Lytechinus pictus: one gene and its partners. The protein of the gene in region 3 interacts with the protein of the main gene of each other region in a pairwise test. Links are inferred from orthologs where the notes say so. Each region holds a gene or a part of one and is shown on either strand. Other genes may lie near its edges.

Region 1 (10,651 bases), on a different chromosome or scaffold from region 3:
TAAGATTAATGTAGATTATATCCAAGCCCATGAAGCTAAGTGTGAGATAGATTAAACATCTTTTACAAATAACCCTAATCCTAAGATTAATGTAGATGATATCCAAACCAATGAAGTTAAGTGTGAGATAGCTTACATATCTTTTACAAATAACCCTAATCCTAGGATTAATATAGACGATATCCAAACCAATGAAGCTAAGTGTGAGATAGCCTAAACATCTTTAATCAATAACCTTAATACTAAGATTAATGTAGATGATATCCAAACCAATGAAGGCTTCCTAATTAAAGCCTAGACTGAAATAAAAAAAATACTGTTCCATTCTCAAATATTACATGCACATGAAATGACAAATTCCATTCATATTAGACACTTCCTTCTGTGACAATTAAATTAAGGAACAATATTGAACTTTGACACCCTCATACAGAGCAAAATCTTTTTAAAATTTCTGCAGATGCTCTATGAAAACGCTTTAAGATTTTATTAAAAAGCTTACCTCCAAAATGCTCTGTTCATTGCATTACGTTTTTCTGGTCTGTTCACCTCAACCTTGTATATGAACTCTTGCGGATTAGTCACAGCAAGTGACTCAAAATTATATTTTGACAGCCCTTCGGAAGACATGCTTCTAGCGAGTGTTCTTCTAAGGCCGATCTTGGCTGAAATGATAATAAAGGAAACAATTTTCAAATGAAGTTTTCAATAACAAAAAATACAGTCAAGTCTACATAAAATTATTAGCACAAAGTATGAAGGTGAGTTCTATTACCAAAATAGAAACAGGGAATTCTTATACAAATACAATCATATACAGTGCATCTAAAAAAACCATACACTTTTGAAATGGCTGCCATACAAAAAATATATCACTTGTGGGCAAAATTTCTAAATATATGGAAAGCAAATAGAGTAAACTTTCATTTTCATACAACACCAAAATCCAAAAAGTTTGAAAACTATTCATGCATGAGTGAGCAATTCCCACTTAAAGGTCAAGTTTACCCCAGAAAAAGGATGATTTGAATAAATAGAGAAAAATCCAACGAGCAAAACGTTAAAAATTTCATCAAAATCGGATGTAAAATAAGTTGACATTTTAAAGTTTCGCTTATTTTTCACAATATAGTTATATGCACATCTCAGTGACATGTAAATGAGACAGTCAATGATGTCCATCACTCACTATTTCTTTTGTTTTTATTGTTTGAATTATACAATATTTCATTTTTTTACAGATTTGACAATAAGGACCAACTTGACTGAACCATAAGTATTAAAACAATGCTAATTCCACATGTTCAGGGAGGAATTAATCTTTGTTTCACTTGACAATGAGAAAATTAGAATAGTTTGTATTTCATGTAATGAAATACAAAAGAAATAGTGAGTGGATGACTTCATCAGCCTCCTCATTTGCATACTGACCAGGATGTACACATAACTGTTTTGTGAAATTAAGCAAAACTTTAAAATGTCATAACTTTCTTATTTTACATCCGATTTTGATGACATTTTCAGTGTTATGCTTGTTGGAATTTTCTCTTTTTATTCAAATCAACTAATGGTTGGGGTGGACTTGTCCTTTAAATAAAGGGTATGATAATTAGGCTGGGCAGGAATTAGCCTTCCTATTTCTTTCAGTTTTTGAGAGGCGATCCTTTGGAACTTGCAAAGTTGAGGGTTTGTGATGAATTAATGATCAATCGTGACCAGTTTGTTGTTTGAGAAAATTTCAAGAGCTATTATATTGAAATTTAATGCATGACTCCATGATTGAACTTGAATTGTACTTTTTTAGTGCAGCATTTTTACTTTTTCAGGTGGATCTCTGCAGTTTGTCCATGAGAGTCAGGAGAAAAAGGGTGAGATAGGACTTAAGAAGGTGTAGTAGGTTGATAGGATACAGGTCACCATAACATTTAGCCACCCCTCCCTTCCTCTCTTACCCCCCCCCCCCCCCCCCCTCCACTTCAACCCCCCTGAGAGACTAAGATTGACTAGGCTGGGTGGGAATTAACCTTCCAATTTTTTAGGTTAGTCCTTGGAACTTGAAAAGTTAAGGGTGTCATGCTAAATTAATGATCAATTGAGATAAGTTTTGGTTTTTTAAGCAAATTTCATGAGTTACTAAATTGAAATTTAATGCATGAGTGAACAGGAATCGTAATTATAGTGTACCATTTTAAAGGAGAATGAAACCCTTGAAACCAGCTGAATCCATATCAAAGAGAAAAATCAAAGAAACATATTGTTGAAAGTTTGAGGAAGATTGAATGAATAATAAGAAAGTTATGAGCATTTGAATATTGAGATCACTAATGCCATGTAGAACCTCCCATTGGCAATGCGACCAAGATCTGTGATGTCACACACGTACAACTCCCTCATTACTTTAGTAGTATTTCACTTATATTCTCACTTTTATAGAGTCTATCACAAGGTGAGGTGTTCTCTATATGAGAGGACAAGTACAGAGGTTTCACAAAATTATATCATTGATGAAACGTTTGTCATATGATTAGAATGAGCAAAAAGAGATGTTTTGGGGTATATTTTCAGTGTCCAAAAGGGGAGAGTTGTTCATCTGTGACATCAAAGATCTTGGTCACATTGCCAATGAGAGGATCTCCATAGCATTAGTGATCTCGACATTCAAATGCTCATAACTCTTCTATTGCTAGTCCTATTTTACTCAAACTTTTGTTGATCTTATTCTTTGATTTTTCTGCTTTCACAAAAGCTAACTTGCTCCAAGAGTTTCATTCTCCTTTAACTTTCTCTTGTGGACCTCAGCAGTGTGTTTATGAGAGTTAGAGTAATGTGATGGTACCTGTTGCAAGTAAAGGGATGAGAAAGGGTAATACATGGTTAAAAAGGGCATTACTCTTCTTTGTGTTCTTTTACAAATTACAAGTCATGTACCACCATCTCCATCCCCTCTCTCTCTCTCTCTCTTCCTGGATGGTATTCAAAACTTAACTGCCAAGTGACTGTTGTTGATGGGTAATTTTTTTTTTTCATTGAATGATTACTAAGAAATTTACAGATTATGATGATTTATGAAATAATTTATTAAAAAAGGTGAATGTTTGATCACATTGGCATTTGATTTACTAATAAATTGTTGATTAAATGATTGATAGGTAAAAGTTGATGCCCTAATTTTCAGAATTTATTATTAAATTGACAGTCTGCTCTGGACTTTATGGCTTATTATGCGAACATGTAAATAATGTAATAGCAATCAGTCTCAATCTCAACAGGAAGGGGGGAGGGGGTGGCTAAATGTTCTGTTGACCCTTGTCCAATCAACCTATTTCACCCACTATCTCACCCCTAACCATGCATGCTAACCCCCTATTCTCCTGCGTGACTCCCATGAACCCCATTCTGATTCTGAGAACCATATTACATATATTGATAAGTTAAAATGCGTTAATCATGTTAATGCTGCGCTAAAAACTGCAATTCATGTTCACTCGTACTCATGCATTAAATATTTTCTCAAACAACCAAAAATGATCACGACTGACCATTACTTTATCACAACACATAACACCAAAACCAGATTTCAACACCGTACTAAATTAGCTAGTAAGAGCAGCTACATGTAGCCTCGAAATGTGCCGCCGGTACAAGCCGGGGGAGCACCGGTCTGCGTGCTCGCTAGATCCAGTTCATGAGTTGGGTCGATCTTACACTCGTATTTTGAATTGATGTTGAACCCCCCACCCGAATGCTAACACTTAAAATAATCTCACAGATTAATGCCATTTTCTTTCCTTGAAATTTTCAATTAATCTTACTCAAGTTCCCTTTCCTGGCTGTTGACAGGATGACTTTGGTGAGAGAATTCATGATGATCTCGTGCCGTCCACGGGCGCGGGCGTGGTATAAAAAAGGCGTACCGCTGTGGCTAGCTCGATCACAAAATTTTCCGGTACCGGTACCGGGCCCGGTATCCGTGTATCATATCGATAGCTAGCTGACGTCGACGTGTCTTGCTATGCTCGGCTAGCTACCGGTACCGACAAGGCCAGGCGACACAGTCAACATCACTCTAACTGTAACTGTAACTGTAAGATCTAGATCTACTGTAAAATCTGGAAATTGGTAATGTCCAATACGTATAAATATTTATGTAGGCCTCATTTTTTCTTGCATAGTTATAACGTTAAACATTTCGTTTTCAGATTCCAATTCCACCGAGCTGAGAGTGAGACTGAGATCGAGAGAAGGCTGAACTGCTGAAGCATGAAGGCAGCTGAACAGTCAACATGAACAACAGTCCCACGAGCTTACTTTAGTGCGGTTTCATGATATCAGCTTTCGTTTATAAACTTAGCTTTACTCTTTAGTTTATATTATAGTCGCGCCAGTCAATCTTTCAGTTTCTTATTATTATTACCGGATGTACTGGAAAAATGCAGAAAGCTGCAGCCAAGTTTCCAGGTCTAGCTTTCGTCCAAGCTTAATCTTCTTCCACAACTTAATCAGTTTAATTTATATTTTTCCTCAAGAAATCAGACAAGATACATAAAATACTTTATAGACAGTGAATAAACAACTATAAATATGATGGTGTGCCCTTGCCCCGGGGACCTCGACACGTCTTTCACAGTACACTGTGTTCGGGCTGCCGCAGTAAGGTGGGCCCCAAGTCTGCGCACCTAACAGTAACAATTTGAGTTGAGATTTAACATGAATTTCTTCTTATTTCACAAAATCTTTCAGTTAAAATAATAAAAACTTAAAATAATGTTCCTTATCATGCTTATATTATTGAGAGTAAGTGTACCAAATTTCTCATTAAAAAATGAAAGAAAATATAGGATTTTCTTGAAAAAACCTCTGGCAGTCATTTTCAGATTGAAAAAAAAATGATACTCCATGTCTGCGCACTCATTCACTTTGCACACGATTCTGGGATTTTGATGAGAAAGGCTGCATTTTGAGGCCGTCACATGAAATGCCCTGAATTTATTATTTTTCCACCATTTTGAGTCGGATTTTTCAATGAATACCTGTCTATGTATTGCATGTTTAAAGTCTCGTTGCGTATCTTCTTTTACTAGAATCGCGCAGACAAGGGGGACTGCGCAGACTTGGGGGAACTTGCCATAATTGTTCATCAAACAAAGGATATGACATGAATGAGGAGGAAAAATGGCCGAAAAGGCTTGGCTTGTGTCTGTTGTGATACTAGGCTAGACAGCTGGCAGCCGTCTGTTTCGAGGAGTTTTTTAACATTTTTAATTTTTTTTTAATTTCTCCTTGTACACAGACGGCTTGCTATCGTGCAGCCACCGTTAGGGGGTTAACAATGCAAGGAGAGAGAGAGCTAGAGAGCCAGAAATAAGTTTAAGTTATATTTAGATTATGAACTTGACAATTAAAATGTTTTGTAGACTATTTCCTTCTAAAAACAGATACCGAAGAGCTTAAATCTAATTGAATATGGGAAGGGATTGAATTAGAATTTTGAATTCCAATAATTGGTCCTTGATAATATATGCCATTTTTAAAGAGAGAAGTATTGCACTGTGGGATATGAATATTTCAAGCATTTTCAGTGGAATGAGTATGTACAGATGTGTTTGATAAAAAATAATTTTTGAGGGAATTCGGCAAGATATTTTATAATATAAGAAAAAATTAAAACTGCAATATTCATTTTGTTCAAATACATTATATTTAGAATTTTCAAAGATTTTAAACAATGGTCCAGAATGACACAGATATGAGGAGTGAGTAATAATTAATTCTCATTGTCCTTTTTTGTAAAAGAAATATGTTAATATGTGTTTATTACCCCAGACTATATTGCAGAAGTTCAAATAAGGTAAAATCAGTGTATTATATAATAAAAGATGAATCATCTTCGGTAACGTGCAGTTTATATGACAGTGATGTTTTGGCAACTTTGCCGCAGATGACACCAGCATGCTCATTCCATGTTAACCTATTATCAAGATTGACATTAACACCTAAAAGGTAGTAAATGCTACTTCATTAATTGGCATCTCATTTAAATAAACATCAACTTTGAGTAATGATCTATTTTTATTTGTGAAAACCATAAAAAAAAAACATTTTCGAGCATTTAAAGTTAATTTATTTACAGTAAGCCAGTTTGATGTATATTTCAATTCATTATTAAAGAACATTTTGTAAAGTTTCAACATTTTTATGGGACATGAACAAGCTGGAGTTATCTGCATACAAAATAGAATCCAGAGCATTAGAAATGCATGGTAGCGGCGATGTAGAGGCTGTGAAAAAAACATGTGCGTGTCTTGCTTGATTCATATCGGGCTAGCTCTAGGCACGCTTCTGTGAAATGGGAGCATGTCATCATATTACATATTATAAAATAATTTTTAAAAGCACCTTTAGAAGCTTTTAGAAATTGGTTATCAATAGGAAGTAGAGAAAATTTCTGTTATTTTGATACTTTGAAAATTTCTATAGATTCCAAAATATTTGTGTACAAACTGTATTTTTTTATGTTGATGAAAAAAATTAAAATTTTGGATAAAAATGGCATAATAATGTACTCATAACATATACACACTAAATTACACTATAGATGTCCTACAGTATGTTGTGTGTGTTACTTTGGGAAGAACTAATATTGTAAAAACAACAATTCCAATGATGAGAGTAATTGATAGTATAGAGTGACAACTTTTCATAAAATCATATATTTCAATAAATGAAGATCAACTAGTTTTTATTTCTCTCAATTAGTGTTAGACAGGTGATTGAACTTTTATATTATTTGTATAATGGAGAAGTCCTTATAATGAACAAGATTCTATAAAATGAGGATCCTGCAGTTCCCCATCATGATGATCATGTTAACATTTTTAGAATTTAATTTTCAATGAATATCAAGTCTCAACTTATTGAAATAAATAACTTCCTGTGTGTATTTCCTTTGTCCATAGAAATCAAGTGAAAATGGCTGCTTTCAGACAACCCAATAATACTAGGCCAAGTTGTGTCAGTGCTGCCATCTTAATAAGCCTCTTCATATGCCTTGCTAGTGTTCATATAGCAAATGCAAAAGAAGAAGATGAAGCTTCTACTGAAGGCTGGATGGACTATTGGTTTATCAGATTGGCGCTAAATGTTCTTGGCTACCTGTCAGTGATTGTTCCTGCTTGGCTGGTGATTCGCTATGTCAGAAGCTCTGGATACTTGGAAAAGGGAGGTGAGGATCCCTCAGGTACAAGTAGTGGCATATAAAAAGACAAAGGCATTTCTGCCTTTTTATGCCCACTACTCCTAGGAAAAAAAAGTAATTTTGCACCCTCTCCCCCTCCCCCTTTTCAAAATCACAACCTTTTCCTTGTCAAAAATATTTTTAAGAAGTCAGCCTACATGTTTGGGCAACAAAATTTTGGGATTGAATAAAGCTATCTAAATAATCTTATTTTTAAAAGATTTCTTTAGTTACAAACTCATGTATATGCCCTTTAGAATGATTTTTTTTTTAATTTTTACCAACAATATTAGAAGAACTGTAAGGAGTCTGAAAACTTCTCATTTACAGGGAGTAAAGCTGGCTGTGTTGTACCAGTACATATGGAAAGGAAGTTAGGGCAGCACAGAAACAGACATTTAACTTATATTGTACCAGCACTATCAGAGCTCTACATGTATGTAATAATTAGAACTAGATGAAACTCTATATAGTACCGAGTTGATTTATTTGATAAGAAGATACAGGTACTACTTTAAGAAAAATGAAGACTTCACGGTAAAAAGACAATTGTTTTGGCTTTGGGTTTATTAAGTTAATACAGGTAGTAGCTCTTTGAGGTGCTTTTGGAGAAAAATGTTAGAGGAATAAAATGTTAGATTCAACGTTGATAACAATATCACATCAGATTCAGTTATCCGCATAATGTCATTTGTTGTGAAGTTGACATCTAGGCAATGATTTACATGTACATGTAATTTATGTAATAATATATTTTGGAGCATATGACGTGAAATACTTGAAATAAAATGTCAAAGTTATAATAAGTTTGGTTTATGATATACCATATTCTTATGCAAAGCAAATTAGCTTGAAACAAAAAGCTGGCTTACTACTCTGAATCTGTAACCGGAGCTAGTAACATGTGTCATGACATTGCCCTTTTTGGGTATTCAACCCTGCGCTTTTATCTGCATTTTTATCTGCCTGAATAACCTGAAATGAGAGGGAGCTAAAGGGCTGCAGGTAATGATAATGATATCAGTAGCTCTACTTTATTTGTCCATGTATGCGAAGTACAAATTATGAACTTTGATAATGTAATGGTGTTTGTGATGGTGATGATGATGGTGGTGGTGATGATGATCATCATCATCATCCCAGCAACAATGATGTTAATGATGAATTGACATAAATGCAATAATTGGTAGCTATTGTTTTTCATGCTGAAGAATTCCTAGGAGAGTAGTATTTCTTTGGGATATTTTCCTCTTTCTTCTGAGTCTATGTCCTAATCAGTTACAGTAGGTCTCTTTAAACCTCTTATTTTCTGAAATATGTATTTTGTGTAGGTCATGGCTGTTGGTACAATACTGTCAAATCATGTGTAACTGGGTCAGACGAAATCAAAGCAAGCTTAGAGGAAGGAGGTAGCAAGGCTACAGTGACTGAGAAACCAAAGGTAATATTATATGTACATAAAAAGTTTAGCTCCAAAAGGAACTACATCCATATTTATTACTTCACAGAAAAACATTGTTGACCATTTTCATCAAAAGGGAATGAAGTACCTTTTGAAACTAAACTTCCTACCACATGAAATGCAAGCGAAAGACAAAAGTTTTTCTTCAGACTACATTTTCAACATTCCTTGTATGTGACCATAATGCACTAATGTCACTATTTTGGTCTACTTAACTGTTTTGTATTTGTTGCATGACAGTTTGGTTCATGAAAGAGTTCATATATTGACCTGATAAAGTTTACTGATGATATTGGTTTATTTCTTGCGCTTTCTGTTTAGATAGGAATTTGATTCCGGTAAGGTAAATGATTGATTTCCAGCAATTGCTGCCAGACCTATAATTTAATGGTTTAGTTTTAAAAAAATGCAGGTGAGATAGATTTACAGCTATCGAGAGGAGTGCTGTCAGAAATATTTCATGGTTAAGATGCAGATATTAAGCGACTGTTAAAAGCCAGTACTTTAGATTATTAAAAGACTACTTTAATGGTAAACGATCAGAGGACCAATGACCATACACTTTCTGATGGATCAGAGAGCAGAAAGAGTTGCAATCAGTCACAACTTTAAAAATCAAACATTTTTATTTTCAACCAATAAATTAGAAGCATGTATTTAGGACTAGCAATTGATTAGTAAGTAAGTATTCAGTTGCTACTCTAATTGCTATTGGCCCCCGGTAATGAGGACATTTAACTTACCAAAGGGCAATAGGACTAGGCCTAAATAGTACATCAAATTTTATTTAAGCCCAGGTTACCAGATTTCAAGACTATTGCCCTTCATATGAATATATATCTTGCCCCTCAACCTACACAATATTGTCAATGCTACTCTAACTTTTGAGGAATATGAATTTGAAATGAATACTGTAAATGATATTAATCATTGGATGGATGGACGGCCGGACGGACACTTTTTATTGCTTTTTGAAAATGAAAATTTTAGTATTCTGACTATAGTAATGTGTAATACTCTATTCATTTCCAGATGAACCGTAGTTTTGTGCTGCTGTTTTGCGTAGCTGGCCTGCAAGGGTCATACCTTACATGGGGAGTCCTTCAAGAACGTATAATGGCACATGAATATGGCAAAGATGCACATAATCCAGGAGAAACGTTCACCAACTCCCAATTCCTAGTGTTCATGAACCGCATTCTCGCTTTCATGGCTGCTCTGGTTTTCATGAACTTCACTGCTCAACCTCGTCACACTGCACCCCTCTACAAGTACTCCTACTGCTCTTTGTCCAATATCATGAGTAGCTGGTGCCAGTATGAGGCTCTCAAGTTTGTCACCTTTCCCACCCAAGTCCTGGCCAAAGCTTCCAAGATCATTCCTGTGATGCTGATGGGGAAGGTCATATCTGGGAAAACATACGAGTACTACGAGTACATCACAGCTGTGATGATCTCTCTTGGTGTGGCACTGTTCTTGTTGTCCCAGGGAGGGGATCACAAAGGATCAACTGTGACAACATTATCAGGGGTCATCATCTTGGTTGGTTACATGGCCTTTGATAGCTTCACCTCAAATTGGCAGGCAGACCTGTATAAGACATACAGTATGTCCAGTATTCAGATGATGTTTGGTGTCAACCTCTTTTCCTGCCTGTTCACCAGTTGGTCTCTTATAGAACAGGGTGGGTTCTTTGAGGGAATTGGCTTCATGCTCAAGTACAATACCTTCATGTTTCATGTAGGACTTCTCTCACTGTTCTCAGCCACTGGACAGCTCTTTATCTTCTACACCATCTCCCAGTTTGGTGCGGTCATCTTCACCATCATCATGACCACCCGTCAGGCCCTGGCTATCCTCCTTTCATGCATCATTTATGGCCATCCTCTCAATTTCCAGGGCATCATGGGTGTCATAGTGGTATTCATTGCCCTCTTCCTCAGGGTATATGCAAG
Region 2 (10,679 bases), on a different chromosome or scaffold from region 3:
TTCAAAATGGATGTTAGTCATTAAGTGTAGGATGCTCAAAATATGCCTGCTTCTATCACAATAGATTAATTTGAAATTCTACTTGCATCATAGATCAATTCAAATTAATTTGTTTATTACTTTGTCATCCTAAATGTTTTCCTGTAAATCATATGTAAAACTTTTAATAAATCTATATATGACATAAATAAGTATCCACAATTGCTACCCACCTGTATTTTCTCCAATGTTTCCTTTAACTTTAACCCAAATCAAGAGTTTGGGTTCAGTAGGTTGATCAAATGACATGCTAAAGAAGTTTTCTCTGTCTACTCTCTTGGTTTCAAATGTGATTTCTTGAGCAAGCTGTTTCTGAGCCCATTTCCGCAGCCTCTCAGGAATATCTGGATTCCTATTAAAATAAAAACAATGGAAAATTTGTATATGTGGTAATAGATTATTAAAAGGCTGATATTCATTTACATTCAAATTATTACAATCTTTGAAGATATTTCAGGGCAGGCAGGCTTGAATATGTTTTCTTTTGTGTAATATAGTACATGTATATTTAGGCATAGATAATTTTTTTTATAGTAGATATGTCAGAAAAATGGAAGTTGAGAGTCTTTAGACGCAGTGAATAGCATGTGACAAACATGTGATAAATACCAATAGAAATATTGCGTGATGAAAGCATGAAAGTGCTAATCAATTCAATTTGAAATAACATAGCTTCATCATCATACAAATATAAATTATAATTCGAAAAATTCTGCTGGTTGTCATCAACTTCCCCATCAACCTTAAGACCTTCATGATTCAATAACAAACAGAAAAATATGTCTTTTTTTTATATTTATTTCTTATTTGATGATTTGAAGCTCATCAAAAAGGGGGAATTTGGAAAACTTGAATTCTAATCAAGTAACTATCCACCATTAATATCTCTCCAGAATGAAACTATGTGTATGCGCATAGAGTGATCTAAAGAGATGATGCAAAAGAGTGAAGGATCTAAAGAAAAACTTACTGTACAAACTGTTTGAGTTCCTCAATATCTGTTGTCATGGTATCAGGATCGGGTACATCAGGCATGGTGTACTGATGATGAAACGGAGAATCCTCGAACCTATGATAAGATGCCATCATTGTGAGAATGATACGACCGTTCTGAATGGCTTCTACCGAGCGTGTGCAGAAGCTGTGTCCATCACGCTGGTTCTCCACCCGATAAAGAACGGGTAAGGTTGAATCTCCTGAGATATTATGAGAAAAAAAAAACAAGATGACCTAACCTTTTCATGACCGAATTTTCTAATTTCTACAGAGACCCGGCAGTTTACTGTCAGATGTTTTTCATATTTATTACAAACTAACTGGGACAGACTCAAAGTCAGCCTCCAAACCAAATTTAAAGGTAAAGTCCACCCCAGAAAAATGTTGATTTGAAAAAAAAGAAAAATCAAAATAGCTTAACGCCGAAAATTTCATAAAAATCGGATGTAAAATAAGAAAGTTATGTCATTTTAAAGTTTCGCTTATTTTTCACAAAACAGTGACATGCATAACTCAGTGACATGCAAATGAGACAGTCAATGTCCCTCACTCACTATTTCTTTTTTTTTGTTTTTTTTATTGTTTGAATTACCGGTATACAATATTTCAGTTTTTACAGATTTGACAATAAGGACCAACTTGACTGAACCACATAGTATTAAACAATCCTAATTCCACATGTTCAGGGAGGAATTAATCATTGTTTCACTTGACAATGAGAAGAAAATTAGAATATTTCATATTTCATATAATACAAAAAAGAAATAGTTGAGTGAATGATGTCATCAGTCTCCTCGTTTGCACACCGACCAGGATGTGCATATTAAACTGTTTTGTGAAATTAAGCAAAACTTTAAAATGCCATAACTTTCTTATTTTACATCCGATTTTGATGAATATTTCAGTGTTATGCTTGTTGGATTTTCCTCTTTTTATTCAAATTATGTTTTTGTTGGGGTGGACTTGTTTGGCTTTAACCAGTCTTAGCCTTAGCCAGGTGGCAAGTGATGTGTACAAAGGCTGTGGGGGAAAGTTTTATCTAGTGGCCTCATGAACTCCCAGCCTCGACTCCAATCCTGACAATTAAACTTTAAGGAAATTATCAAATCACCACTACATTGTAGGCCTACCTATGAACAGATGATAATCAATCAATTTAGTTTTAATAGATTTTCATGATATATAGGCCTACTTTGATGAGCATAATATTGGAGAAGTCACAAAGAATGAGATGGAACACTCAGGTTAAACCAATTAATATTTCATCAATTCTTGTTTGTAGCTTTCTTGATTCACCCACTCCAATCAGGAAGAAATTACATTTTTAACAAACTGCTCTAGATGTTATGGGTACATTATATATATATATATATATATATATCTTAAGCTCTCAACCCTGTTTAGAGCACAATATAAAATGAATTAGTCATTGCACAGTAATTACCTGCTTTGACAAAATAAGAATGAAGCGAATGAATAGATAGTTCAGGGTTCACTGTCCTCCCAGCAGCTACCATTGCTTGTCCAATGATCTGACCACCAAACAGTCTCTTCCCTGGTCCATAAGCATGCCACATGTTTTTGGCTCTATCATTTAGAAGAGAAAGTCATTTTGATTTTGGGGGAAACAGTTTAATGTTAAAGTATATCATGGTCACAAAGAATTTCAATACAGTCAAAAGAAAAAAATTGAAACTGAAGAATAGGCCTACTATACATGTGGGGATTTTTATCTCTAACTGGCTTTATCCATTGCATCCCATTCAAACCACTCTAGGCGACACCCCAATACTTACCCGTGCTAATAAACTGGGACTCCACTCACGCGCGTTTGGGCCTCCCTAGCTTAGAACTAAGCACTAATATCACCTTAAAAACTAAATCTACAAGGTATGTATAATCGTTTTACAACTTTAATAATGTTTAATCGGTACTCACCGGTTCTTTTGTTGCATTTTCAGACCATTTCTCACAATTCTTCGTAAATATTTGCGGCAAATTTTGTCGCCATAGACAGCTTAGCATCCATCTTTATTGATAAATGGAGCGCCCTTTACGATAGTTGTTAATGCCGCGGAGAAATCGTTAGGCATTTTGGCCTGTGTTCAAGGCGTTCTTTCTGTTTTATTTTTTATATTGAAGATTGTGCATTTGTTGAATAGCGCCGTCTACGTCAGGTATGAGATCGAGTGTATAAATACACTCTTCCAAAATAATTATGATTCCGACCTGGCGCTGTTTAACTTCAATCTCTTTCACCTAAATTAGCGATGAATGCTAGCATTATAAAATATATATTATTAACGTCTGACGAAAAGAATAACCAACCGATCAGCTGACGAGAACGCGAATCACGTGATCTTCATATCAGCTTCGATCGCGAGTCAGAAGAGAAGAGCAGCTGCCCAGAAAATCAGGAAAAAGCCGTGAAAATGTAAGTTCCCCTTCATTTCTTTCATTTTTTGTTGTTGCTAACGATGCATTTACACTATAAAATTATAATTTAAATAAGAGAAAGGAATATAGCTTGTACTTGTGATATAATATATAAATATCCTGTTCTCAGAGATTTCTAACCAAAAATACTACTGATGTCGCCTATGAGGTCCATACATGTAATGTTGGACCTCATTGGTACTAGGAGTGATTCAAACCTCTGGATAAAGTAATAGTTTATTCCATTTCATATTGTATTTTGAGGAATAACTTATCAAGCTTCCCAACAGATATTTATAATACCAAGATCTTTGCACAGTGATTGACCTTTCAGAAATAAATATTAACATGGTACTGGTAGAAACTATAAAGAAGATTAATCACCAGTTGCTAAATTTGGTTCAAAACAGGAGCAGAATTTTGTTTTTAAAAAATTATATCTTATATCACTAAAATGGCAATATGTCTTTGCCTTTGGAGCATGAATGAAATGCTCATTCAATTGGTTTATACAACTAATCATTTCTAAGAAAATGAAATCTTCATCATTATCATTATTACAACTATAGGTCTCCTCTTCTTCTTCATCATCAATTAATCATCATCATCAGACATCAATCATCATCATCATCATCATCAGACATCATCTTCTTCTTCTTCTTCTTCCTGTAAAGTACAGACTGCCGTTGGCATATTATCGTATCATCATAAATCATCATCATCATTTCAATCCGATCATCAGTGACTGACTTGCATAGCTGTTTCATTCAAATTTCAACTGAGTCATACTTGAAAAAACGCAACAACAATTACAATGTATGGGACCTTCAATTACCTGAACAGATATGGGTCCAAAGTCTCCAAATCGAGAACGGTGCTGACGAGAACACTCCTTAAATCATTCTCAGATTGATCATCTGTTGTTGTTGATGAAGCAGCCATTCTACTAGAAACAGTTACCGGCAGTAAGTTTGGCTTGTTCACAATCTTATCGCTTTGTGAAAAGCTTGAGAAATGAGTTAGTAACCGTCTCACGTTTCTCAACATTTTGATTGACACCGGCTGATATGATTACGCAATCTCTATCCCGGAACGGAAAACAACAAGCGCTCGCTAGCGAGATTCGACGGGTGTCCGGAATCAAAACATTGAATCGTACAAATTAACCCTTTTCGCTCGAAGGCTGATTAGACTACTGCTTTTACTAGCATCCCTCGGTAATTTTGAACTTCAATTTTCTTGATATTGTGAATGTGAGGTACATGCATTGTATAGGCTCTGCATCTCAACTCATGTATGATTTCGATTGAACAGGTGTCGGTACGGTATGCGCAGCTAATGGGTATTACCTGGGATTTGGATCCTGTGCAATTTAAGTTAGTATATCACGGATTTGTGAGATCTACGCTATACGTGTGTGCATAAGTAATTGCACATGCCAATAACAGTAATGGCCTCCTAGGTGTAGTGGTAAGACCCTACTCAAGACAAGAGGCGGTTTGAATGCGAATGTGCACTTGATCTAAGCCTATCATTTGACCTAGGCTATGATGAGATGTGGAGTGAGATGGGTGAATTTAGAATTAGGCAGATGATAATGAAAGTGGGCATAATGATGCAGGATAAGGTGATATGAATGATAACGATGATGACGTAGATGATGATGATTAATGAGGATGATGATGATGCAGGAGAAGAACTTGAAGAAGGAGAGGAGAAAGAGGAATAGAACAAGAATGTTTAATGTATTGTATTTTTGTCTATAGGTGTATCCTGCCACAAGCCTAGCCTCAGCTTTTACAAGTTACTTTTAGGGTATACGCCTTCTTCTTCAAATAATATAGGGTATGTATATTGCGCACATATCCACCTTGTTAGGTGCTCAAGGCGCTCCTATATTACCCGGCTAAGCTAGGCGTTCATAGCGCACACAGCTTTTTAAGGAATTACTTCCTACCGGTACCCATTTACCTCACCTGGGTTGAGTGCAGCACATTAAACCCAACATGTACATATTTACATTTTTCATAACAATTTGATTTTTGTATGAATTGATGTTTACGAAAAATGTAATGAAATGGAAGAAAGTAGATGTTTATTTGAATTGAATTGAAAAAATAACAATGAAAAAAAAAACATTGATATTGATGATGATAACAATAATGGTGATGATGATAATCTACAGTTCTTCATACTATAGACAGGAATAACCATCGTTTCTGGGGATTTATTCGACAATTTCTGACATTTTACTGTCATTCCCATTCACTAACAGTAAACCTGAGCCCCATTGATAAAACCTTCCACCAATTTGGTGGAAAAAATTCATCTAGATTTTTAGAATTTTACTAGGTCTATTAATGGAACAATAGTTTAAACAATGGCCCACATTTTTGCTTAGTTTACACGCTTTCTTGTGATGTTACTGAATATTTGATCAAATACTGAAAAAATATATGTATAATGTTACCGGTATTTTGTTTCTTAGTTTTTAAACTTATTCTCTGGAGATGAAAAACTGGCAGCCCAGTGTGTTGTTTGTAATAGTAAGGCTTTTATCAAGGCTTTCCAATTAGTATCCATGGGGATTATAGTAAAATGTCAGAAATTGTTAAATAAATCCCCAGAAACAACGGTTATTCCTGTCTATTCATACTATCGCTCATCACCGCCCCGCACCAAGTACATGTGTAGTCAAAGTTCTATGATACCTAGTACTTTGAAATGATGATTCGATAGCTTGGACTTCTTAAAGGCATTCAGATAATATCAATGATATAGACTTAGAATCTATTTATATGAAGAAATTTTAATTTCATTTTGTTACAAATTTGTTATCCTTTATTTCACTTCATTTTCAAAATGCTGCTGTTTTCAAAGGATTTGCATGCATTTTTGTCTCTTGCTTTTGTTAAAAAAAACTGACAGAGTGAACTCCTCCTTTAAATATAATTCCCCTGTTGGGTTTTAGCCCTTGACCTTGCAGGTATTTTTCTCTGTTTCAAGTGTGTTAGATACATGCATAAAGTGGTACCCATATATCCAGCAAGTAACCTTGTTAAATATCTACCCGTGTGATCACTGGCGGATCCAGGGGGAGGGGGGAGCAGTCGGCCCGTCCCCCCCCCCCCTTTTGAGAGGCACAATTTAAATTTGTAATGTAAAAATGCCATTAAAAAAGAAGTATGCCCCCCCCCTTTGAAAGTGAAAACCTTTTTTTTTCTTGCTTGTCAAATTTTATTGTGGATGAAATCCCCTTAATTTTAGGTTGAAACCCTTTTTTCCCCTTTTTTTGCTTGTCAAATTTTTCCTTGGGATATTGTATGCCCCTTCCTTTAAACAAATCCTGGATCCACCCCTGTGTGTAATATAAAGAAGGGTGCTTGATATGAGTAACAAGACACTACTTACATGTACACAAGGCATGATGAACCAAACAAAATTGGTGTATACTGAATAGTCTACCATTCACAGAATCACCGGCAGTTTGTTAGAGATCTACATACGTATCTTCATGGAGTGATCTTGTAAGAGTACTCGGTAGTGTTATATAAGCATTTTGTTATTATTATTATCATGTTTCTTCTTGGCCCTGTCTTACAAAGAGTTACGATTGATCTGATCAACCGCAACTATGGAAAGCCAGCAACGTCAACATCTAAAATTACGTATTTGTTCAAAATATTTTCGAGAAATATCATTCATACATTCAGTTTTTTTGACAATTCAGTATGCTTCTCTTTGTTTACAAAGGACATTGTGCAAATTTCCTAAAGAAAAAATGATGACATTGATGGATTTCCATAAACTTTAAGAGATTGATCGGATCAATCGTAACTCTTTGTAAGATGGGGCCCTGATGTTAATCTGCTGTGCAATCTTTACAATATTGTTTCTTCTTTCCATTTGACTTGGCCACAGGGGGGTCAAAATATTTAAAGATGGGACAGTCTGAGAGTGCTGAGAAGTCCAGGAGTTCACAGGAAACTGGGATGAGAGCGGAATACCAGACTTATCGATCTCTCTTCTCACCTGAAGAACAGGAAGAACTGCAAACTGTTTTTGAGAGAATATGTCGGAGCAACCCACAGCAAACTGATGGGCAGGGTCAAGCAACTTTCTCCAAAGAACAGTTCATGGTAAAACAAATACCTTATTCATTGACATCAGCACTACAATTATAACTAACAAGAATTAATTTTGGATGAAAAATGAAGTAAAATTAATCAAAAGGTGGAATATAAATCACGATAGTATAGACCTAGTTCTTGGGGTTTATTGCTGGGAAAGGTAGATGCTATCAAAAGAATGTGAATGAGAGGAAAAATTTATGAATTTTTGTAGACCTTTTTTTTTTTGGTGTATGCTTCAAATTTTTTTAATTAATGAGTCAGAATAATTTAACAGATTTAAAAAAAAAAATTGATTTTATCATAAAGCATATCCAAGTAATCAATTGTATAAAAATAAAGGTTGATGGTTTTTGAAATATTGTTTGCTTTTTAACACTTTCAAATTTAATTGCGTTTTAACGGTGACTTGTTTTCTTCACTAGAGTTGTTTAGGTGAGATCCTATCTGAGTCGACAACTGAGCGTCTATACAATGAGATGCTTCAAGTCCAAGGGGTCATCTCCTCAATAAAATCCATCTCTCAAGAAGCTTTCGTGATCGCCCTCGCCAAGCTACTTAAGGGAACTATGGAAGAAACAAGTCTGATGGTGTGCAGACTAGCTGCCAACATGGCTGACAGGATAACAAAAGAACATCTCTCAAAGGTCAGTAAATATTACATTATTTGTTTTGACCTTAGGTCATTGAATTTTGCTTTTTATGGATTTTTATGATTACCAAAGTCCGGATGTGTTTTATATTTTGATTATGTTTGGGACTGATTCCCTTTCTTATATATTTGAGTGATTTGCATTGTCCATTTTCACCAATTTTTTTTATTGTACCTGTAATATATGATTTATAGTGTGTTGCGAGTTTTGTTACAGTTTTTCTTATTCTTGTCACTTTTATAATCAAATATAGTCTTGCCCTTGTCAGAATATTGTTTCCAGTAATGTCTTGCAATCTCAGATTTCTACACGTGACGTGTATGGATCTCTATGTCAACATAATTTTCATCAAATTTCCTTTACATCTTACCTATTTGATCATATGGCAAGTATATTCCCAATATAATCACTATTTGAAAATGATCTTATTTGCAAAGTGATATGCACAGTATCCAAAACTTGTGCCTCTTCAAATTTTACTCCTCAATGCCTCCTAGATTGCTGATCCAGCCGGTATTGTATAGGCCGGATTACGGTAATCAACAAACTTTGTACATACAGTTCCAATTCAATACAACAAGTTATCTTTACCTGTATTTCTACTTGCCATGATCACCTTGCTGTTATTGTCAGTGCTCCTACTCTTAGGAATAACCATTCCTTAATATCTCTTGAATCTTTCAAAACTGTTCAGAGAGCACATCTTACTATGCATGTATCACATTCTTGTTTTCAGTTTCCTTGTTTTTTCTTTTCCTTTAACCTAATTTTATCTGTCTTATAATTGTTTGTTAGAGCACTTTGCAAGTTATTTATTTCTAAATTAATACATTTTTTTCTGTCACAAAATGCACACCCTGATGATGATCTTTTAATTTCATTATTTTTTTTGTTTTATTTATTTATTTATTTATTTTTTTTTTTGGGCGGGGGCATCCATGGTTACATTCTGAAGCTTTTCGTTGAGGTAGACAATAAAGGAAAACTTTGTAGGCTTGATCTTTGTAGGTTTGCATGGTAGAATTTATGACGTGGAGAGGGTTTACGGTTCACCATGTTTAATATGAAGAAGGAAAAGGAAATACAGGCAGAAATATTGAGATGGAAAGACGAGAAAGGATGAAAAGAGGAATTTAGAGGAATTCTTTTCTTGAAAGTGAGTGAAGTTCTGAAAAGGACTGTAAACCAGATGAGATGAGCTGAATATGGCTTGAGTAGTGATGGTTTCTAGGCTGGGAAAGACAGTGCATGCCTATGATTCTGTGAAAACATAAAGGAGACCAAAAAATGCAATTAAAAAGATCTGATGATCGGAGATATGAATTTCATATTAAAGGGGTACTCCAGGCTGAAAATGATATGATTTGAAAAGATAAAGAAAAATCAGACAAACAAAATATTAAAAATTTGATCAAAATCGGACAAGGAATAACAAAACTATGGCTTTTTACATATTTGCATGATTCCAGTGAAACAGTTCTATGTCTTCATGACTATGCAATGAGCAAGCTGATGATGTCATATCCTCAATTGTTCTTTTGTATTTTATTATATGAAATTAGGTTTATTCAAATTTTTTCTTCCAAGAACTAAAAAAATTGGATTGGCAACTGACTTTAGTGCATTGGATATTCATTGCTGCAACCTATTTCATTTTAAGGGAGACAAATCATTTACACACGTATGAAAAATTAAACAACTATGATTTCATGTAATAACTTAAAAGGGAAAGTGGGGATGTGACATCATCAGCCAAACTAAAGAATATTCATGACGGCGTGCATAAAACTGTTTTTACAAAATATTGAACTTTGAAATTCAATAAATTTGTCATTTATTATCAGATTTTGATGAAATTTTTATCACTTTGCTCCTGAATTTTACTCTTATCTATATAGGATATAATCATATAAATATTTTCAGCCTGGAGTACCCCTTTAAGTAGATGATTGTTGTCCTTCATGTATATTCTGTTTATAGTTGCATATTTAAAAATATATATATATAATGACTTTATCACAAATTGCAGTATCTTCTTATTTAGAATGGGTTGAAATTTTTAATGGTTAATTTGATTAATGAAGAAGAAAATAAAAGATGTTTATTGATATCAGAATGATTAAAACCTGTTCTAAATAGAATATTTTGTATGTAATTTTCTTATTTTATTTCAGTTCATCACAGATATCTTATCATCCTATGAGAAAGCATTGAAGGCAGCGGATAAGATGGGAGGTTGGAATATTAAGGCTGATGCTGACTCCAAACAAAGATTTGTGCAATTCACTTTACAGGGCATGGATGAAGGTAAGGGGATCTGCAAAATGAAATATATTATTTGTGAAAATGCATGTACATTGTTCATGGTATCACCAACAAAACTTCAAACACCAATCATCCTCAATATTTTGTTCAGTTTAATCAT
Region 3 (9,858 bases):
TTCTGCAGCCCAGTCTGCCCTGGAGGCAAGGTCTGCTACCCCTGGGGCTGAGATGAAAATGAGATAGATTTTTTTTTTCTTGACCTGTCCCAATAATTTTTTTTTTCTGTTTTCACCATACAGAAACATATGCATACATGTTAATTGTACTTGTATTCTTTATTCGACTTGTTATTGATCTCCTATTTTCATTCCTTTCCGTACTTCTTATTCCCTTTCTTGCAATAAAGGCATTTAATCTCTAATATTTGTATTTCTTGCAATTGAAGCTTTTAATCTAGATTTATTCTCAAATGCTCGCTGTCAAAATCTACATCAAGGATATACTATATACACACCCAATATTATATATATGTAATCATCTCTGTGACCTCTGACCATATCTGCACACGCTCAGTAAAGTACGCGAGGTGACTTATTCACACAAATACTCAGACTATATTTACGAGCTACATTGTAAGAGAGAATTTTCTTTATTTTCATGTTTTGTTTAAACTATCTCTATTAAATATAGTATATATCTACGCATGCTCAGATTAAACATGTCATTCAGACAGGAGACAATTGTCTTTATTTTCAAGAACTTTGTTCAAACTTTGTTTCTACAAAGGCTCAGATTTTATCCATAAACTGGCTCATTCAGACAGGATAAGTTTTCCTTATATTCAAGTTAGTCTTAAAATGACCCATATTTCCACATGCTCAGATGTCATCTATGAACTGGCCATTCAGACAGGACAAGTTTTCTTATTTTCAAGTTATTGTTAAATAAATGTAACCCTGATCTGCACATACTCAGATTATATCTATTACCCTTTTTACACAGGATTTTCTTAACCCCGGACTATCGCTAACCCCGTACTATCCTTAACCCCGTACTATTTTTTTTCCTTTTTACACATGCCAAATTGTTATTGCTAACCCCGGATAAGGAATGCTTGCTTTTCACACACGAAACTCGCTAACCCCGGACTAGTGGTTTTTGTCGATCATTCGTAGTACAAGTACTTCACTCGTACCATTTTACACACGCTACAATTTCCTTAACCCCGTACTATAGGTGGGGCCAAATTGCCATTTAGCCCCACCTATAGTACGGGGTTAAGCTTAGCCCACTTTCGTTTTACACTAGCGATCTTAACCCCGTACTATCGCTCTTAGCACCGCAATTGCTGGGATAACCCTGCTTTTTTGCAGGGCCAAATAATCCCGTACTAAAGGTGGGGTTAGCCCACTTTGCAAAAATGCTGTGTAAAAAGAAAGTGGGCTAAGCTTAACCCCGTACTATAGGTGGGGCTAAATGGCAATTTAGCCCCACCTATAGTACGGGGTTAAGGAAATTTTAGCGTGTGTAAAAAGGGTATATGACATGATTCATTCAGACAGGACATATTTTCTTAATTTTCAATTCATTGTTCAAATGAACCTTATGCCCAGATTAGAACTACATGTATCAACAAAATGGATCATTCAGACAAGAAAAGTCTTGCATGATCAACTATCAGGTCACCCATTCATACCTTGGGCTAGGGCTTGGCGGTGATGCAAGCCTTCAATCTCCTGCATTTCTTGAAGAAGGGCATCCATACGGAACGTCTGAGGTGGACCGGCATGGCGATGCTGATCAGACAGGAACTCATTGACCAACTGAACATCAAATATGAAGATTTTATATTAGAATTAGTGTTTGACAGAAGGACCATTAGCATTGGTTTTCTGGAGGGGGGGGGGGGGGGTTGTAGTCGATGTTTTTTTCTCTCTCCTTTTTTCACACTTCTTTAAAGCCCTTATGCAAAATAGAGGAAAGGTTAGACAAAGTTCATCCACAGTGGATGTACATGTAAAACAGGTGAGGGCTATGAAATAATTTTTAGAAATACAATTTGCAAAACCATTTCAATGCACATGTGTGCACTCAAAATTAAAAAATACAACTTATACCTATCAATTTTAATACCTAGGAAGGTTGACATAAAATACATGTAGATAATGGTATTGTACTGTATAAATACATCAGCATGCACTGCTTTTTAAGTCCACGGCCGTTTCATAAAGTTGTTATAAATTTCGGAACAACCAAAATCATTCAATTTGATTGGCTGATATTAGTTTTCATTATTACAAAAAGTATTTATGGAACATGATCCAGTGCCAGCAAAATAATTAAATCTTTATTTTCTGGGGCTACTTTTCACAACTTATCCCCTAAATCTGTAACATTGGCTAATAAGCTTTAACATTGCAATAAATGGGGAATTTCCAGGGTGCTTTTTGAGCATTTCAGGGCAAAATCACCCCCTGCCTGTGTATTTTTTCCCCCTGGGACCCAGGTGTGAATAGCCACTTACCTCTTGGTCAGGAGCTTCAAGGAAGGGTCTTGCCTCCTGCACAAACCCACCTGGCCCTGGGAGATGCTGGAGACCCTCCTGATGCAGAGACTTGTCTTGGGTGAAGTGAGACGTTAAACGCATCAAGGGGTTGGCCGTACCACATTCCCCGTCAACAAGATCTCTCATTGCCATGTTGACAGATGAGTTTCTTACTGTGGAGGAAAGTACAATGAATTACTATTCATCACTGGTGTATAGATGGAGGATTTTGAGGTCCGCCCCCCCCCAAAAAAAAAAAGCTCCACAAACAAGAAAATGAAGAATAGAAAGAAAATGAAAGGGGATATGGCAATTTTTTTTTCTAAAATTATATAAAAATCCATTCAAAATAATAGATTTTGATTCTAAAAAGTTCAGGTTTTGAAATCGGCAGCAAATTATTTATACGTGTGAGGAACTTCATGTTGGCTCTAAATCACCAATTTTGAGACTGATAGAAGCATGGAAAAGAAGTGAAACTTTGTGTAAAGTACGAATATTAGTTTTATTTGTTTTTAAAGATCGTGATGTTGCATGAATTTTATATTTCCCCCCATAAAATCCCACCTTTGTCACTCGGAATATCAGATCGAGTTCACGGTCTCGAAGTTCGGGTAGGTGAAGCGTAGACCGTAGTGTAGCGGTAGTGAAGTGGAGCCTGCACGAACTTCGCTCGAGGTAGCCTACGTACAGTTGATACTTTTTTACTCTCCAGAAGCCTCCAGGCCCTAGGCTACCTACATACCACTACCAGGTATGATGGGGTGACCATAATTTGCGCACATTTTAACAATTATCATTTGATTTTCAATCAAAAATTTCTCACACTGTCACACAAAATTAATCCAAATCCAAATACCAAATGGAAGGCATGATCCCAAAGTCAAATTCACTTGACGGAATTATAATGTAAGTCCATGGTTTCGCTCATATAGTGTTCTCAAAATTCCATGGCGATCGACTAGTGCGCGCTCGGCTGAAAAGTGTCATAAAAAGGTGTGACCTTAATTTGCACACGATCGTTTTGCAAAGCTTTAGAAAAGAAATAAAGCAGACAAAGATAAGATAATTAAATTATATCAGATGGAGGTTAAAATGCCATAAATTCGGTTGGTATCACATTTTACTTACTTATTTGGAGACCTCTGCTTGCAAACTGGCGATTTCTTGATGCTTGTCGAGAATATCAGATTTTCTCGGAACGGACGCAAAAGGTAACAATAAACAAAATTTGCTGATGTTTTGCCAATATTTTCACAATTTGAGACCTTACCTTAAAAAAAATTACCATACTAAGTAATTTTGGGTCGCTCTTTCTGTTGGTGATATCAGTTTTTCAAGATACTAATTAGATAATGAGATATTTGACCGTGCGCAAAATTAGGTTACGCGCGAATTAGGTCACACTCACATCACCATACCACTCACACAACTAACTTACATTACAGACACCGATATATTCGTGTGGGACAATAGTGCAGCTACATAGATAGGCCTAGATTGAAGATTCTACGGCTACGCCATAATACGCAAAAATCCGTCTTGCATCAATGATCAACATGATCAAGCCAGGTCGGTCAGACAAAAAAGTCGACGTCAAAAACCTCGAAATTGTTAATCCACGTTAAAAAAAAGCTACGGATTGCTTACCGATAAATGATAGGAATAATGTGACGAAGCCGAAGGCTGTCCTCTGAGTTTCATCAAAAGTTAATCCAAGTCTCCGTTACGCAATTGCCGAATGGATGTCGGATCCGGATCGGATCGGGCGCCGCGGCCATACATTGTAGATCGAGAAGGGAGGTGCCGTGGCCGTGGCCGAGTGGTCTAAGGAGCCTGGCTGTACATGGAAAGTCCGGGGTTCGATCCCCGGCCGCGGCACCTATGCCCGTGAGCAAGGCATTTAATATACAATGCTCTTTTATCCTGCTTTCAAATAAATGGAAATGCTACCGTATATGCAATATTGGTAACTCGGTGTGCACTAATTGTTTTAAAAATAAAACAAAAATAGATCGAGAAGGGGTGTACGTCGCTGCGGCCCGAAGGGTTCAGGGCCGATCAGGGCCCTGTCTAGAATATTTATCCCGATGCGTGGCCCATAATATACAGTGGCGTAGCTAGCTTTTTTTTTCCTGGGGGGACATTGCTTTTTAATGAGGGGGGGGGGGGGCTGGGATGGCGACAACCACAGGGGCAGATCCAGTTTTCGCGCCAGTAGGGGATTAGGCCCGAAATTATTTTCACCCAATATTTTCCGATCAGCCGCTCGAAATTGATTTTTTTTTGCAGGTGCAGTCCACTTCTTTATTATAAAACAACATAAATATAAAATAATCAGGCACTATAAAATTTTCGATCTCTCGATCGCACTGCATGATGTTTGATGAAATAATAACATTCTTGCTGATAGGCTGATATGGAGCTTAAAATATCAAGTTTTGAAGTATTTCAGCTCCGACATTGAGCTTTCATTATTTTGTTTGATTTTCAGTATCTACCATATGTATCAACATTTTGAGCTCACGCGCAGCGCTTGCATTATTTGATTTGTAAAGTACCTTATCTCTTCGTGTTTTCCATAAAGTTCTCAAAAATATATTTTCAGGTTTGATTGTCAAAACCTATCAGCCAGCGTTGCGCGCTCACATTTTGATTGGTAAGTAATGTATAACTCTACTTCAGAGGCGTCGATCCTGGGGGGGGGGGGGGTAGGGGGGCGATCGCCCCACCAATGAAAATATTGGGGGGCAAACATATATTGTTTTGCCCCCCCCCCCCAATAATTCCTCATGTGCAAAAATAAAATAAGAGTGTAATGTTACACAGAAATCAGCAAGCAAGATTGAAATACACAACTCGTTCCTTATTTAAAATCGTGCTCAAAATGTCTGCTTTTCAGCTCGCGCTTCGCGCTCGCATCATTTCTGTAGCAAAAACCCATACTTTTCATGATTAAATAGGTGAACAGAATGTCCCGTTTTCAGTTCTAAACCTCAAAAGAACCCCCGCTTCGATTTGCAATAATCTTTTGTTGGGTATATATATCTTGTTTTTTTTATCAAAAACGTCCATTAAACTGTCAATTTTTTCAGATCGAAATATCAAATTTTTCAGCTTGCGTTTCGCGCTCGTATCTATTGTTATTTGAGACACCAATCTTAATCGTACCAAAATGCTTAGAATATCAAGCTTTCAGGTCAGAATATAAAAAAAAATTCAGCTCGCTCTCGGCACGCGCATTATCTGTGTAGTAAGATCCTCCTCATGATTTACTACAAACAATCCTAAACGGGTACCTTTTTCCTGTTTTCAGTTCAGTATACTAAAAAAATTCAGCTCGCGCTTCGCGCTCGCATTAATTTGTTGGTGAGATATGTGTCTCTTTCTCACGAGTCATATATATGTATGTATATATATATATATAAACATATATATATATATATATGTATATATATATACATGCCTATGTGTGTGTGTTTGTGTGTAGGTGAGTTTGTTTGTTTTGTGTGATCGAGCGCCTTTGAAAAGTTGAGTCATGATTTTGCCACCCCAATCTGAAAAATGGATCGACGCCCCTGCTCTACATGCACCCTATTCATAATTAAAAAGTGCTTGAAATGTCCAGTTTTTAGGCCTTAATATCAACAAATATCGAGCTGTCATTAGGCTTATTAGATTAATAAACAAAATAAAAAATTTCATGAATTCCTAATAATCAAATTGTCCTTCTTTCAGAATGGAATATCTTGCGCTAAGGTAGAGAAAAGGGAAGACAGTCATCATTTTCATATGATGACAATATGTCCTCAGAATGTTCCGGTCCTAGGTCAAAATGATAATGAAAATATAGCTTACGCTCAGCGCTCGCATCATTTATTTAGTGCGATCCATAATTATCCACTTCACAGTTTTCTTACTGTGCTTGAATTAGTGCTTAAAGACCATTTTCAGATCGGAATATCAAATATTTTCAGCTCGCGCTTCGCGCTTCGCGCTCGCATTATTGATTTTGATGATAAAAAATATATTTAGAATGCCCAGATACTAGGTATAAATCTTAAACACACGCACGCATGTTTATTGAGATACGCAGCTTGTTCTTTATTTAAAACATGCTTGAATTATCCAGTTTCATGTTAGAATAGACCTTATCAAAAAACTTCTGCTCACATTATTAGTGTATGATACCCAATTACCCATCCTTTTCATGATTTACAAAACATCATGAATAGAGTGACCCGTTTGAAGGTCTAAACTTTTTCCGCTCGCATTGTTTAGTTATATACCTATCCTGTTCATGATTACAAAAACTGCTTAGAATGTTCATTTTTTAGGTCGAAATGTCAAAGATTTTCAGCTCGCGCTTCGCACTCGCTTTATTTCACAGTTGAAATATGTATTGTCTTTATGGCTAACTACAAACAGTCCTTAACAGGTCATTTTTTCGATCAGTTACATACGCATCTTGTTCGGGATTACAAAAATTTCCAAGAATGTTCAATTTTCAGGACAAAATACATTAAATTTCCCCAAAACAAATTGTTTTATAAGAAGTGACTGTTACGAATACCACTTCAAAGAAACAAACAAAAGTCGATTTTGAGCGGCAGATCGAGGAAAATATGGGTGATTTTTTTAGCCCTCCCCCAGTGGCGTACCTAGGATTTTCCAAAGGGGGGGGGGGCAAATTCGTCCGCCAAAAAATTTGACAAGCAAAAAAAAAAAGTCTTCACCCGCAAGTAAAGGACATTTCGCACCAGAAAAAAAATTGACAAGCAAAAAAAAAAGGTCTTCAACCACAAGTAAAGGACATTTATTTAGCACCAGTCAGGGACTAACTCATCAGGGGGGCAGGGATACGTTCCTTGCAAGTGTTGTGACTCGTCAGGGGGGCAGTCTGCCGCCCCCCCCCCTTAGGTACGCTAATGCCTCCCCCTATTGGCAAAAGCTGGATCCGCCCCTGAATTTAGGCTTACTTCAGCACCCCCAGCCAAAAAAATCTTTCCCAGGGCACTCTCCTGCAACCTCTTTCTTACTCTCCCTTTCCAGACCTATCCATCTCTCTAGATCGTCAGAATCCGGCTGACCCATTTTTCGAAAAACATCTTCACAAACAAACAGTCCACAAAACTGATTTACTGCTGAATAACACCGTTGAGTGATAAACCTTGATGAACTCCTATAATTCTCCTCCCTCGTGTAATTATTATTGTTGTTGCAGTGATTCAACGATTATCATGTCGGTCGTGTGAGCTTTTTAACGCTACAATCACACCAATAAAACCGACTCCAAACCGACCAATAGTAATAACGTTTATCGATCAGGATTCCGTTTCATCTGTGTGACTGTAGCATAACACACGAACCAATTAAAACTTTTGTATCATTCTAAAAGAAAGGACCAGCATCCCCCCCAAAAAAAACCGATCTGGATAAAAAGGAGAAAGATCTAACAAGTAAAAGGGTGACAAGTGCATGTTAAAGGTAGGAAATAAAGATAAGCATCTGTACGTGCAAACCATCCGGGAACGCTTTGCATGTCATAAATCTGTGAATATTTGTCCCAATGATGAAAAAGCTATTTTCTTTTGTTTTAAAACGTTAGTAACTTTATGATGTGGCATGTGCCTTAATCCCAGGTATGACTGTGGGGAAGTGCAGTCGACTGTTCGAGGTTCGAATCCTGGGTCCCGTAACACAAAGGTTAGCGATTAATCGTACACTCAATTTTTACAATTGATTGTACATTGTAGTCAATGGAATTAATCGTAGAAAATGTTCTACGATCATTGCTAAGTTTTGTGTTACGGGCCCATGTTCACATCTTTTGGAAAGGCAATTAATCATATCTTTTTGGAATTGGATCTAATTTATCTAAACTATCTAACCAAAGTCTACCTACCAAATATGTAATGACCCAATCACTCAATTCAGACAAATTCATTGCAAATTTTATAAGTAATTATATTGATGTGACATTAAACATTAAACATTAAATATATATATATATACGGTATATTTCATATACTATAGAATAAATCAAATAAAATGCAAATATGTCGGTTCGGTGTAAAACTGGCAGAGGTAAAAATAGCAGGAGTAGTAATGGTAGAGGTATAAATGGCAGAGGAAACAATGGCCGGTCTTAAACCCCCATGCAATATAAATGTAAAAGTGAATACCCCACATGTATATAGCTTAGATAAGAAAGGTACTTAAAAGAGATTTGAAATTATAATATTATGGAAAGCGTTATTTTTGTAATTTGTATCGTATTTTCCCCCTGGACTTACGGATTTCTCACGTCGGCTCGCTCTACCTGGTTTGAATCACACTTTAGATCCCAAGTATATTCAGGGGCGGCAGAGCGAAGTTGAAAGTGTGGGGGGGGGGGCATAATGAAAAAGGGCACCTTTTCTTTCGAAAGGGCACTATCTCAAAACAAAGGGGGACAATGACTTATCTACAGTGGCGCAATGAGCCGAAAATTTTGAGGGGGCTAGATATGTCGCATCACATAGTATCTATAAGTTGCGAGCGAGCGAAACGAGCAAGAAATTTTTCTCTTTACATTTTTATAACAATCCAATTTTGTGATAGATTTTGACATAATAAGGGGGGGGGGCAAAGTCCCAAGCCCACTTCCATTTGTGCGCTACTGCTTATCTACCCCCACTCACATGACTCATGAAATTTAAGGCACGTAGGATTATCCTTACTAGTGTTATTCTTCAAATAACATATGGAAATGAGAATATTGTTTTCTTATTTCATAGGGGCACTCGTTTACCATGAAACTGGCCCTTCTCAGGCAAAAGGGACACAGAACACGTTCATAAGCGGCACTTTTCTTGGGTAAAAAGGGGCACTGATACGAGAAAGGGCACCAATAAGAAGGCAACAGGGCACTTGCTAACGGCATAAAATGGGTCCTCAGGTATGAAAGGGGCACAGAACACATTAGGGAGGGGCATTTTCTGGGTAAAGAGGGGCACTGATTAGAAAAGGGCACTTACAACTTTACAAGAGAGCAAGGGGCACTTTCTCACACTTAAAACGGGTCCTCAGGTGAAAGGGGCATAGAAACTGTACGCGGTGGGCACTTTTCATGGGTAAAAAGGGGCACTGATACAAGAAAGGCACCTATAAGAAGGCAAATGGGGTACTTGCTAACGACATAACGGGTCATTCTCATACGACATAATTATAACTGGTCATTCTCAAAGGGGCACAAAACACGTTTGTGAGGAGGCATTTTGTTTATAAAAATTGGCACTGATACGAGAAATGGCACTCCATAACACCTCTTCCTCAGGTTAAAGGGGCACAAGTTCGTGAGGGGCATTTTTCTTGCGCAAAAAGTGTGTGCGGGGGGGGGGCGGCTGTGCCCCCGGCCCCAAGGATTGCCGCCCCTGCCAATTAAGTATTGCACTTAATTTATTAAAGGGGAAATTCACCCTGGCATAAAGTTTATTGTAAAAAATAG

Evidence for each region.
Region 1: the proteins of peroxisomal targeting signal 1 receptor-like (region 3) and delta(3,5)-Delta(2,4)-dienoyl-CoA isomerase, mitochondrial-like interact in a two-hybrid assay, tested with the Homo sapiens proteins (2 studies listed by BioGRID and IntAct, with this or other methods). The link is inferred for Lytechinus pictus from reciprocal best matches to the Homo sapiens genes PEX5 and ECH1.
Region 2: the proteins of peroxisomal targeting signal 1 receptor-like (region 3) and acyl-coenzyme A thioesterase 8-like interact in binary tests that used the Homo sapiens proteins (3 or more experiments, as listed by UniProt). The link is inferred for Lytechinus pictus from reciprocal best matches to the Homo sapiens genes PEX5 and ACOT8.

What each region holds. Positions count from the first base shown.
Region 1 is NC_087251.1:23,742,855-23,753,505, forward strand, and holds the start of delta(3,5)-Delta(2,4)-dienoyl-CoA isomerase, mitochondrial-like, read right to left. Parts: upstream 4,263-10,651; 5' UTR 3,865-4,262; coding exon 3,813-3,864; intron 666-3,812; coding exon 503-665; intron 1-502. Other genes in the region: adenosine 3'-phospho 5'-phosphosulfate transporter 1-like, read left to right, coding at 6,970-7,237, 8,566-8,675, 9,729-10,651. UniProt on the Homo sapiens protein: Isomerization of 3-trans,5-cis-dienoyl-CoA to 2-trans,4-trans-dienoyl-CoA.
Region 2 is NC_087246.1:25,013,076-25,023,754, forward strand, and holds the start of acyl-coenzyme A thioesterase 8-like, read right to left. Parts: upstream 4,801-10,679; 5' UTR 4,519-4,800; coding exon 4,307-4,518; exon of another isoform or gene 4,305-4,306; intron 2,623-4,304; coding exon 2,480-2,622; intron 1,236-2,479; coding exon 1,010-1,235; intron 392-1,009; coding exon 213-391; intron 1-212. Other genes in the region: MTOR-associated protein MEAK7-like, read left to right, coding at 7,413-7,610, 8,027-8,248, 10,429-10,561. UniProt on the Homo sapiens protein: Catalyzes the hydrolysis of acyl-CoAs into free fatty acids and coenzyme A (CoASH), regulating their respective intracellular levels. Displays no strong substrate specificity with respect to the carboxylic acid moiety of Acyl-CoAs.
Region 3 is NC_087258.1:5,594,437-5,604,294, forward strand, and holds the start of peroxisomal targeting signal 1 receptor-like, read right to left. Parts: upstream 4,113-9,858; 5' UTR 4,020-4,112; intron 3,804-4,019; exon of another isoform or gene 3,501-3,803; intron 2,543-3,500; 5' UTR 2,523-2,542; coding exon 2,349-2,522; intron 1,648-2,348; coding exon 1,521-1,647; intron 48-1,520; coding exon 1-47.